3 linked regions of the Mus musculus genome follow. The protein of the gene in region 1 purifies or fractionates together with the protein of each later gene. This does not show direct contact. Links are inferred from orthologs where the notes say so. Each region holds a gene or a part of one and is shown in the gene's direction. Other genes may lie near its edges.

Region 1 (3,733 bases):
GCAGGTTATGTTGGTCATGTCTAGGCAATGGAGATTAGTTAAGAGCAAGGAACTAGCCTGACCGAGCCTCCATAAAATGGGAGTATGGCAGGCCCAACGTGCAAGGTACAAGAAGTAATGCACTTGGCTGGCGTCCGTAGTTACTACTTTTCAGGGGCCTAGGGTTGAGCCTTAGCAAAGAGTGTAGATACTCTGAGTCTCCTCCCAGCACGCCCTCAGTTCTGGGTCCAACATCCCCTTGCAGCTCCAGTTGTGTCGCGAGCAAACCAAAGCGGACCCCGAGCTAGTTGGGTCACGGCTGCCCAGTGTCGGGCCTCCTTATGAATGACACCGAACGGCGCCCGGCGACCCTTGACCCTCGGCGCCAGCCCGCCCCTCCCCCCCTGGCAGGTGGACAGCCGCTGCGCCGGCCCGCCGTGGCGTCAACCTCTGGCCCGTGGCCGCTGCCGCACTGGGCAGGGGCGGGAGACTGCAGCGCGCACATTGCCGCACGGGCGTCCGCCGGGCCGCCTCCCGCACCTCGCAGCGCCTGCCACCCAGCCACCCTCCAGCCGCCGCAGCCTCCGCCCCGCCCGCTGCCCGGGCCGCAGCCTGAGCCGCTGCCCCGCCCTCTCACCCCGGGACTGACACTAGCCGGGGCCGCCTGTCTCCGCCAATCGACGGCTTCGCAGGGGCAGCCCCAAGCCCTCTCGGGCTTCTCGGCCAATCACGTGCGTTCGCCCGCCCGACTGCGGCCTCACGAGCCCGTGAGTGGCGGAGAGTCTGCAACTCGCGTCACTCATCCAGGAGCCTATGGTGGCGCGGGAGGGTTCCGGAGGGCCAATGGACAGCGGCGTAGGGCTGTCAGTCAGGGAGGCCTGAACCAATGGGCGGTGGGCTGCGGGGGCGTCACGGACAGAGGACTTGGGCTGAGGCTCCCCCGCGGGCGGGCGCAGAGAGACGCGGGAAGCAGGGGCTGGGCGGGGGTCGTGGCGCCGCAGCCAGCGCAGCCAGCCCCAGGGGCCGCCGCCTCCGCTGCCCAGCGCGCTCCGGGGCCGCCGGCCACCTTAGCACCCGCCGCGTCGCAGCTCCGGGACTGGCCCCGGCCGCGACGCCGCCGCGATGGGCAACGCCGCCGCCGCCAAGAAGGGCAGCGAGCAGGAGAGCGGTGAGTGCCCGGCCGTCACCCTGATCTTCACTGCGTGCGGCCTGCCCGCGCAATGCCCATCACTGCATGGCCCCTCCCCCATATGCCCCCCCAATCTTGTCTGCCTGCACCCCTGCCTGCTGCCTGTTCACGTTGGGGTCGGATCACCGCAGAGATACTTTGCCCCCAGTAGGGCCTGGTGCCCATGGCCTACCATCCCCCACTGCAAAGGCCGTGCCCCCCCACCCAGCTGTCACTGCCAACCATTGCATGTATGACCGCCGGGGCCCCAGATGAGGCCCTGTCACCACACCAACCCCTCTTCTCCTAGTCCCTTTCTCCAGATTCTATACCCCCTCCCACTTCGTCACTTACCTTTCCCACACAGCGCCCCAATGCCTGACCCTGATCCAGGCTCCTGCCAGTTTCGGGAGTGCTGTGGGGTCCACGCTGCAGGGACCTTGGCCACTTGGTGACCACACCCCTCCCCCTCCAGCCCCCGCCATCTTTCTCCTACCCCTGCCCGATTCACCTCATCACAGCTCCCACCTCCAAGCCACCCCCACCCCCATGAGCATTTCCCGGGGCCACCTCCTGCATTGTTTTTCCCTTCTGTGTCACTTGGCATGGGGGACAAGATCTTTCTGGGTCCCTCTGCCCCTCTCATCCTGTCACTCCACCTCCTCCGTGCATTCGTCTGGCCCTGGCTGGGGTGGCAGACTGTTTATGAACCTAGAGAGCTGCTTCTGCGCTTCCTTATCCAAGTTGGAGCTGGTCTTGCTCAGAGCCATTACGTCTGTCCTTTTTCTTGGGTTGCGGGTGAGGTAAAGCGGCAGAGCACCCTCCTGGCCTACCCTGAGGTCTGGGTTCCTTAGAAGGCCCCTCAATAAATGGTCGTTTCACAACTGCGGTTCTGTCGTTCACCCAGCCCCTGGGGCTGGTTTGAAACTGCGGATGAAATGAATAGCAAAGGCTCATTCCACTGAATGGGGATGGTCAGAAGAATTGCGCGCATTGGGGTAACGCCATCCAGCAATAGGTGACAGCTAATGATTTGGTTTGCTTAAGACAGATGGATTCTGTGCATACCGAGGGCTCACCCAGAGGGAGGTATATCCACACACACATACACACACCCCCCCCCCAAAAAAAAAACCATGCTGAATTTTTCTAGCCAGGGAAAAAAAAGTGATTCTATATTTGAAATTACTTCAGAAAGGGCCTTGGGCCCTGTCCCCCAGTGCTTCATGTCTCAAAGTGGTGTCACTCCAAGCTAAAGCTGTACTGCAGCTGAGAACAGCTTCCAGTTACCCAAAAAGGAGGCTCTGATCAGCTGTGCCCTTCTCAGTGTCTGAGTCCCCCGAATGCCACTCAAGAAGCCCAAGAACTTTCTGCCCCTCCCCCCCCCCTTCAACCAGCAGAGCTCAGCCCAGCCTAGCAGCCTTAAGAGGCCTGGCATTTCACAGATGGGCGGGGGACAGAGGCAAGTGCTTGTAGTTGAGGGCTTGATGACAGAGGAGCAGGTGGGTAGTGCCCAAAAAGGTCTTGGGCTTGAGCTTGGAGGGCTCCGGGCAGAAGGAGAAGGGCCAGCCCCCTTGGCAGGTGAGGCCCACCAGGAGGTAGATGGTACGTGCAGTGGACTGAATACTGCAGTGGCCCCTCTGAAAGCTGAGCACAGTGCTAGGAAAGCTTTAAGCATATCAGACACACACAACAGGCACAGAGCCACAGAGGAGGGGAGAGCCCAAGGAAAAGATCAGAGTTTGAGAGTCAGTTGGACGGATGAACTCCGTGCATCCAGGAGGGCTTGGTTAAACGGTCTCCATAGACATACTTACTTTGATAATGTCTGTCCAGATGAGCCATCTGAGTTTGACACAGATGACAACACACAGGCAGAGTTCACATCCAGATCTGCTGACCAGCCCATCTCCTAGACCCCGTCATATCTCAACTCAGACATTCTTTGGTTTGCTTTGATTTTTAAAGACAGGATCTCACTATATAGCTCCTCTTGGCCTGAAACTTGAAATTTAGACCAGGCTGGCCTCAAACTCTCAGAGATCTGCCTGCCTCAGCTTCCCAAATGCTAGAATTAACGGCTTTCACCACCATGTCCAGCCTTCAACACATCAGCAGGAGTTAAACCCCAGTCATATTTTCTTAAAATGATAAAACAAACCCCATAATAGTGTATATTGACACTACCAGCAACCCAAGAGGCTGAGGCAAAAGGATTGCTTAAGCCCAAAAATTAAAGGCTAGCTTGGGTAACAGCAAAACCTTGTATCAAAATACAAAAGTCTACAGGATGGCCCTTAGGTAAAGATGTTTGCTATGAAGCTTGTTAGTCTGAATTGTCTTCCTGGGACCTACGTGATGGAGGGAGAGAGCTGACTCCTCAGAGTTGTCCTCTGACCTCCACGAGAGTGTGTGTACACACACAGTAAATATATAGAAACATTTAAAGAAAAAAAAAAAAAAAGAGGGACAGTGCCTCAAACCTAGCAAGGAAGGAAGGGCCTGTGACGCAGAAGGACCTGAGTTTGAGGCAGACCTGGGCCACAAAAGAGACAGCCTTTAAAAGCAGTAATAAACACTTTGCTC
Region 2 (3,647 bases), on another chromosome or scaffold:
GCTAGGTTGCTTCCAACATGACAAAGAGGGTGGATTGAATGGTAAAATAGTATGCTAGTCAGCTTTCTAGAGCATGACGAAATTTCTGAGACAATCAACTTGAAATAACAGAGAATATTGACTCATGGGTGCAGTCCATGACTTCCTGGACTTGTCACTCTGAGCCTTTGGTGAGGGAATAATATCATGGTGGGGACATTTGATAAAGTATACCTGTTCACCCTCATAATGTTTAGGAACCATTTAGAAACCAGGGTTTGGGGGATAGGGTCTTAAAAGTCCTCTTTAGTGATGCTTTTTTTCTACAAGGCTCCACCTCCTAAACACAGCACAACCTTCCAGTGGTGTTATAAACCAAGCCTTTAATACATGGGCTTTGGGGACATTTAAGATCCAGAATTCAACTGTGGGAAGCTGTAGAGGTAAGAAGTTGATTGCAGCAAAAGGAGACACTGACAAAGATTAGTATTTGATTTTCAGATTCTGAAATCTGTCCACCTGATGACCTTGCCTTATTACCAGCATGCAAAGAGAATCTTGAAGACCTCCTAGGCCCATCCTCCATAGCCACTTACCTGGATTCCAAGAGTCAGCTCTCTGTTAAAGTCAGCGTGAATGGAACTGACCAGTCTGAGAATATCAATATCCCTGATGACACAGAAGACTTAAAACAGAAAATCCACGACTTGCAAACCGAGCTGGAAGGCTACCGGAACATCATTGTCCAGCTACTGAAGCACTCTCAGTGCAGTGAGGCTATTATCACAGTTTTGTGTGGGACAGAAGGGGCCCAAGATGGCTTGAACAAGCCTAAGGGCCATATTGATGAGGAAGAGATGACATTTTCAAGTTTGCACCAAGTACGATATGTGAAGCATATGAAAATCCTCCGTCCACTAACCCCGGAGATGATTGATGGCAAGATGCTAGAGAGCCTCAAGCAGCAGCTGGTGGACCAGGAGCAGGAGCTACAGAAGGAGCAGGACTTGAACTTGGAACTTTTCGGTGAAATCCATGACCTGCAGAACAAGTTCCAAGACCTCTCGCCATCAAGGTACATCCTATTCCTGCTTCATCCTCCTCATTAGGCTTGCAGGTTTCCCAGGTCGTTGCTATGTAGGAGCCCAGCAGCTCTTGAGCGAATGCTACTCCCTGGGTGGGTAGAGTATACCCTAGGGAAGGCTTCACTTGGGCTTCAGGCAGCCACACAGCTTCACTCTATGCATGCGTATGTTAGGAGCTGGGCAACTTCTGAGACTGGCAGGGCAGGAGTTGCCCTCCTCAGGCTGAGGACTCAGTGTAGAAACTCCACAGCCATCAGACGGTGGATTGCAGTGTGTTTACTGAGCTGCCTGCTGTGTTTATTTCTGAACTCTGTTATTGGCTTTTGCCTTGTTGTGGAAATAAAATGGATGTCCTAAGCAGGTTGGGAGGAATATAAATGTTTTTCATATCTTTACCCTTTAAGGTCATCTTAGAGAAATAAGCCTGTGTAGAAAGCAAGAAATTCTTGGGTCATGAAGATAATGCTTTATAGTTATAAATATGTACACTGGCTTCGTGAGATATGGCAAAAAAACGGGATAGTCTGTAAATTTGACCTTCATTCGTTACTAATTTGAGAAAAGCGCTGTTCTGGATTGTCAAGAGATAGAGTGATATTTTATTTTTCAAGGCTACCCAAGCAGCAAGACTGAGGGAAACTTATCAGCCTTCAGGCTCGGACGTGTTTGTTTGATTTTGTTTTGAGATGGGAGTTTCACCACATAGTTGAAGCTGCTCTTAAACTCATATTCTTCCTGCCTCTGCCTCCTGAGTGCTGGATGGCAAGTGTGTACCATTCCACTGGGAAAGAACTCAACTATTTAGTTCCAGACACACTGAGCAGGAGGCATTCTCAACTTGTTTTAGTTAGCAGAGCAACTGAGACTCCTAGAGATTTCTGTGACTTGCCCGTGGTCAGAGCCCCTGCCAGGGTTCCAGCCTATACTGCCCACTCTTAGTGTTCCCCGGAACTACCCCACCCTTGAGATGGCGCTGCTGTGATTTGCCTGTAGTGTATTGGTATTAACAGTGGTCATGGTGAACAGCTTGCTGTGACTGTTTTTCCTCGTCTGAGGAAGCTGCAGGCTTGCTCTTACCGACTCCTGGGCCTGCGTAGAGAAGGGTGGCACCTGGTGGTGAGGGGGTGGTATTGCATGATAACTCTTCACATTCTGTGGGTTTGAAAAGCAAAGCTTTAGCTCTAAATACCTTTGAGAAAGCTTTCCTTCTCTGCAAGAATCCATTTGTTAGAAGCCTGGGAGAACCAGGTGACCTACGATAACTTGATCCCATGACTGATGGGACCTAGTCACTCAGTAAGGTGGTGGCCTGGCGTCCAACTGACTCTTTCCGTTGGAAGCAGGGAGTCCTTTCTTTTTACCCTTGCCGTATACATACTTGTACTTGGTGAGAATTTTCAGTGGGTCCCTGACCTTGGGGCATTTGTTTCTACAATTCAGAATAGTGTCTTTGAAGAGTGTATGGAAACTAATTGTGCTCCTGAGTCCTTGCCAATCTATGCTTTAATTGGGGGCTCTCTAAGGTTACAAATATTGCAGAAGAATCTCTGTTCAAGCATTTGTTGGCTGTTTGAACTCAAAGAAGGGGTGACCTTGTACAGTTTCAATTTTTCTAAAGTATATATGCTTGTACAGCTACGGGCTTTCAGAAATTATGCTCTGTCATTTTTCCAATTAGTGTTGAGGTCACAAAAATTCAATTCGAAAATGACACACACATTTTCCTTCCCTCTTTTATCAGATACGATTCATTGGTTCAGTCCCAAGCGAGGGAGCTCTCCCTTCAGCGACAGCAAATTAAGGATAGCCATGGCATCTGTGTCATTTACCGTCAACACATGAGCACCATGATCAAGGCGTTTGAGGAGCTTCTGCAGGCCAGTGATGTGGACAGTTGCGTGGCCGAGGGCTTCCGGGAGCAGCTGACACAGTGTGCTGGACTGCTAGAGCAACTGGAGAGGCTGTTTCTCCATGGTACGTAGGTAGAGGCCCTCACTGTGACTCTCCGGCTCCTTCGGTGTGGGCACCAGCAGGTTTGATTCGTTGGCTTTGCTGTACACACAAACCTGGCTGTTCTGCCATTAAGCCGAAACAGCCTTCTACTTCACAGTCCTGCGCTTTGCTTCTCTTGTTCCCCCTTGTTTTTCTCAGCCCTCCTATTAGGTAAGTGCTCCTGGACAATCTCTGTCATAAGACAGCAACAGTCCTGTCACTCACCGACATCACTGTCCCCGCTCCTCCATTTTTCTTGGTTTTCATAGTCAGGAAGCTAGTGAGTTAGTGAGTGAGTGAGTCCAGTTTTATGGTATGTAGAGTGGTCCACCAGAGGAAGTACCTTCTCTGTGGTTGTGTTGAGAATGCATGGCCATGCTGGGGTTTTACAACTCATCTCTTCGCATAAGTCTGTTCCCGCTAGATCTGTTTGTATTCTTGATATTGTAGACATTACTTGGTTGGAGCATCACAGTGCTCTTGGAATTGGACAATAACTCAGTGTCATAGTCACTGTTGTGTTGCTTTAAAGAGACACCATGACCAAGGCAGCTCTTGTGAAAAAGGAAGCATTTATTTGGAGTTTGTTTA
Region 3 (3,747 bases), on another chromosome or scaffold:
GTTGTGTTTAGCAATATCAAATATTCAGCCAAGAATAAATAATTTTTACGTAGAGATGAACAAGGAAATCCATCTCGTTTGCATACAAGCTTGCTTTTGTCTTAAATGGATTTTTGGTCTGCTTCTTTTCAAAATTCATTTTTTAGGTTAGGATACAAAGTAAGCATTCAAAGAAAGAAAACAAACTTTTTTTTTTAAACGACCAATGTTTGCTTTATACCACTATTATATCCTATATACCTCGAGTGGCATGAAAGTTTTTCAGGTGTCGGGGCGGCAAGTTGAAAAAGTCTAATTAGCTGTATTCTAGACTGCTCATTTCGACATTTACTTCCAAGCAATCTAGAGTGCCTTTTCGTGGCAGAAGCATGAATATGTGCTTTGTTTCGCACGGAGCTTCCTAGAGATTTAAATTCAAGCAGCACCATAGGACACAATAAAGGTTTTTACAGCACATCCATTTGTTTTGTTTGCTCTTCCCGTCCCTGGATACCCTGGCAAGGGGCTGAATATCTGTCAGCAACTTGCTTGGCATTTTTTTTTTTTTTTCTCATTTGGTACAGGCTCTCCTAAGTGATACAGATAAAATTCGTCCCTAGCACGAGAATGTGGCAAACAGATTTGGGTATGAGTTTGAAGTGAACCACACTGTAGATACAGCACGTGAACTCCACGCTGTAGGAACAGAGATTTCGTTTCTACCCTTGTAGAGAAACTGTGCCTGGCACAGATTTCCCCTGGAACTCGTTCGCTTGTGAGCGAGATGTGTTTCCTTTGGCTGGGCAGGAGGGAGATGGGGAGGAGGCAGTCTTGGAACAGCAGGCAGAACGGAGCGCACGTTCGCTGAGGGCGGAAGGAATCCCCAGCAGACCAGAGGGACACGCCCTGCCGCTCTCCCAAAGGGCGGTCTCTCCTGGGATGCCTGGCTTCCAGGCAGCCTGCAAAAACCCTTCTCTTTTCCAGGGCAGACAAGACGCCCTCGGCGAGCCAAAAGCCGCGTCAGCGGCCCCACCCACTCGCCTCCAACGGACCCAGGTCGCCTTCCCGGTTCCCAGCAGCCACCGCGGAGGCGCCGCCCGCACAGGGCATGCTGGGAGTCGAGGTACCCGGCGCTTCATGACTCTCTTCCGTTCGGAATTCCACTTGGAACGCCGTGAGGTAGCGTCGTAGTCGGCGCTCCAGCCCCGCACTCGCAGCTCCAGGGCCCCAAGAACGACACCCCCTTCCCGGGGCGCCGTGCACCGCGTCTCCCCGCAAAGAGCCCCGCTCCGCCCCCCCGACCCTGCTCTACGGAGATTGACAGCGGCGCGGCGCCCGGAGCTGCGGCCAAGTCGGAGGTGCGCAGGCGCACTAGCTCAGCGTTGACCCCTCCCACCCCCCAGTTAGGCCCGGAGGGCGGGGCCAGCACGAGGGCTCCAGGCCGCGGGGGCGCGCACGTAGGCACGTAGGGCCCGTCACGTGGGGCGCCGAGGATCGCAGTGCGCGTGGCCGCGGCGGCTGGTGTGGGGTTGAGTCAGTTGTGACACCCGGAGCTGCTGAGCGGACAGGCTGCCCTCGGGACCCCCGCGGCCCGGCAGCAGGCGCGGAGCTTCGGGAATCGTGAGCCTGGCCCCGTCCTAGAGCTCCGCGGAGCCGGCGCCGCCACCGTCCCCTCGCCCCCGCCAGCGAACCGCCGCCGCGGGCGCGCCCCCGCTCTGCGCTGCGCTGTCTCCTATGGCGTCCGCCTCCGGGGCCATGGCGAAGCACGAGCAGATCCTGGTCCTCGACCCTCCTTCAGACCTCAAATTCAAAGGTAGGCTGGCTGGGACGCTCCGGAGCGGAGCTGAGGCTGGGGCTGGGGCTGGCGGGCGGCGGCGGGGTGGCCGGGCCGTGCTCCCCTCCCCCACGCCCCGGCCGAGCGTCGGAGCCGCGGCCCCGCTGCGTCCCTCGGCCCCGCGCCTCGCCGTCCGCCGCTGCCGGGCCGGGCCGGGCCGGGCTGGGCTGCGCTGCGGAGGGGAGGGGAGGGAGCCGCCGGGCGCCGCGGAGGGCTCCGCCGCCATCTTGCGGCCCCGCGGGGGCGCCGTGGGAGCCCGCCCGCGCCTTGCCCGCCGGCCCGCATGGCGTCCTTGCCCCAGGGGCGGCCGCGGCGCGGCGCGGTGCGGTCGGGCGGTGCGGGAGGGCGACTGGGAGCCGGAGCTCCCTAGTCGGCGGGCGCCAGTGGGCGCCGTTCGGCGGCTTTGGGCAGGCGCGGTCCGCCGCGGGCGAGGAGGCGTTCACGGTCGCGGCCTCGCCCGGAGTCTTTCCCGGTCAGGTGCGGGACTCTGGCTGAGCCGGGAGACCAGGCAGCAGAGTCTCTGGCTGGGACTGACCCCGCGTGTTGGCACGGCCCCCAGGCGCGCGGCAGAAAGCTGTGCGTCAGCTGGGGCATGCATGGTCAGAGGTTAATGGTAGTGGGTCCCTTGTGTCAGCTCGGATTGTCCCTAGGTACGGAGGACCCAGTCCTTGAGTGCACACTGTCTTTACTGAAGAATTCTTTCAGCGTTTGTGACCCGCTTACGCTTGCGGTTTCCCTGCGTATCCCGAGAAAGCTGCTAAGGTGCCACACAGCTCTGGAACTGTTGACTTTGGAGCATTGACTGTGATAGACAGTGGCTTGGTGATTCTTGTTCAGATCCAAGGCGGTTTGCCTTCTCAGTGTGTAGGAAACGAAACGTTACACAGAACAATTTACTTTATTTTAAGGAGAACCAAAAGAATGGAGCTAAAGAGAAAACGTGATCCTTCCTATCTTTAAATGTAAAGTGCCCCCCTCCCCCCCCCCCGAAAGTTAATACCTTGCGTTTTAATTTCAGGAACTGATGAAAACAATTTTCCTTAGGCGCACATCGATTCCAGTACTAAGAGAAAAAGTAAACCCATTAATAGTAGTGTAAGAGTTAGTCCAAATGAAAATAGCTGAATTGTCCTTGTGGGAACAATTTAAAATAGTTCCAGACACTTAAAGATTTTATATCTTAAATAGTTTTAGGGCTTATAAACATTGGGTATTCTGCTAGTCACATGCCCTGCAGGTGTTTCAGTACATTCACAAGTTTCTCTTTACTAGACAAGAACTTGATTGTGATTTTAAGGCAGCTCTAATATCTTTGGAATTGGGTCGTGAACCACACTTATAATCCCGGCATTCTGGAAGTCCAGAAACCATCCAAAGTTTGAAATCAACCCGGGCTACAAGGGAGACACTAGACAGTGTCTCAGAACCTCGGGTAGTGTGTATTTTCCTGCAGCAAATTTCTGTATTGCCTGATTGGTTTTTTTTGGGGGGGGGAGGGGGGGAGGGAGTGGGCGGGGTTTGCTGAGAAGTTCTTATAGTACTGTAGTAGCCATAGGTAATAGAAGCGATTTAATGAACATTTTTACGATATTTTGTGTGGTTTGCTTTTTCTCTTTTGACTGTAAGAGAAAATTATCTGTACCACATAGACATGTGTGAAAAGTCTTTTATGAGACAGGTTTTAAAAACGATTGGAAATACTACATTGTGCAGTATCCATATAGACCACTTATTTTTGATGTTAAATAATAACTGTGTTTATACAACAGACTATGTGTTACCAAAAAAATGATCCCAATACTACTGAAAAGGGCAGGTAAGTGGTACTTTGAGGGAGTAGCATGTCTGTGGAAGCTTTTAAGGGAAAAAGGCTCCTTTCAAGTTGCCTAGGGAAAGTTATGCAAATGGGAGTGGTTGGGTAAATCCTGAGGTGA

The links.
Region 2: the proteins of Prkaca (region 1) and Cdk5rap2 purify together in Homo sapiens (affinity purification with mass spectrometry; 6 studies listed by BioGRID and IntAct, with this or other methods). This does not show direct contact. The link is inferred for Mus musculus from reciprocal best matches to the Homo sapiens genes PRKACA and CDK5RAP2.
Region 3: the proteins of Prkaca (region 1) and Vapa purify together in Homo sapiens (affinity purification with mass spectrometry; 4 studies listed by BioGRID and IntAct, with this or other methods). This does not show direct contact. The link is inferred for Mus musculus from reciprocal best matches to the Homo sapiens genes PRKACA and VAPA.

The regions. Positions count from the first base shown.
Region 1 is NC_000074.6:83,972,086-83,975,818, forward strand, and holds the start of Prkaca (cAMP-dependent protein kinase catalytic subunit alpha), read left to right. Parts: upstream 1-892; 5' UTR 893-1,101; coding exon 1,102-1,147; intron 1,148-3,733.
Region 2 is NC_000070.6:70,263,882-70,267,528, reverse strand, and holds part of Cdk5rap2 (CDK5 regulatory subunit-associated protein 2), read left to right. Parts: intron 1-480; coding exon 481-1,054; intron 1,055-2,805; coding exon 2,806-3,038; intron 3,039-3,647. UniProt on the Homo sapiens protein: Potential regulator of CDK5 activity via its interaction with CDK5R1. Negative regulator of centriole disengagement (licensing) which maintains centriole engagement and cohesion. Involved in regulation of mitotic spindle orientation.
Region 3 is NC_000083.6:65,611,265-65,615,011, reverse strand, and holds the start of Vapa (vesicle-associated membrane protein-associated protein A), read left to right. Parts: upstream 1-1,456; 5' UTR 1,457-1,713; coding exon 1,714-1,792; intron 1,793-3,747. UniProt on the Homo sapiens protein: Endoplasmic reticulum (ER)-anchored protein that mediates the formation of contact sites between the ER and endosomes via interaction with FFAT motif-containing proteins such as STARD3 or WDR44.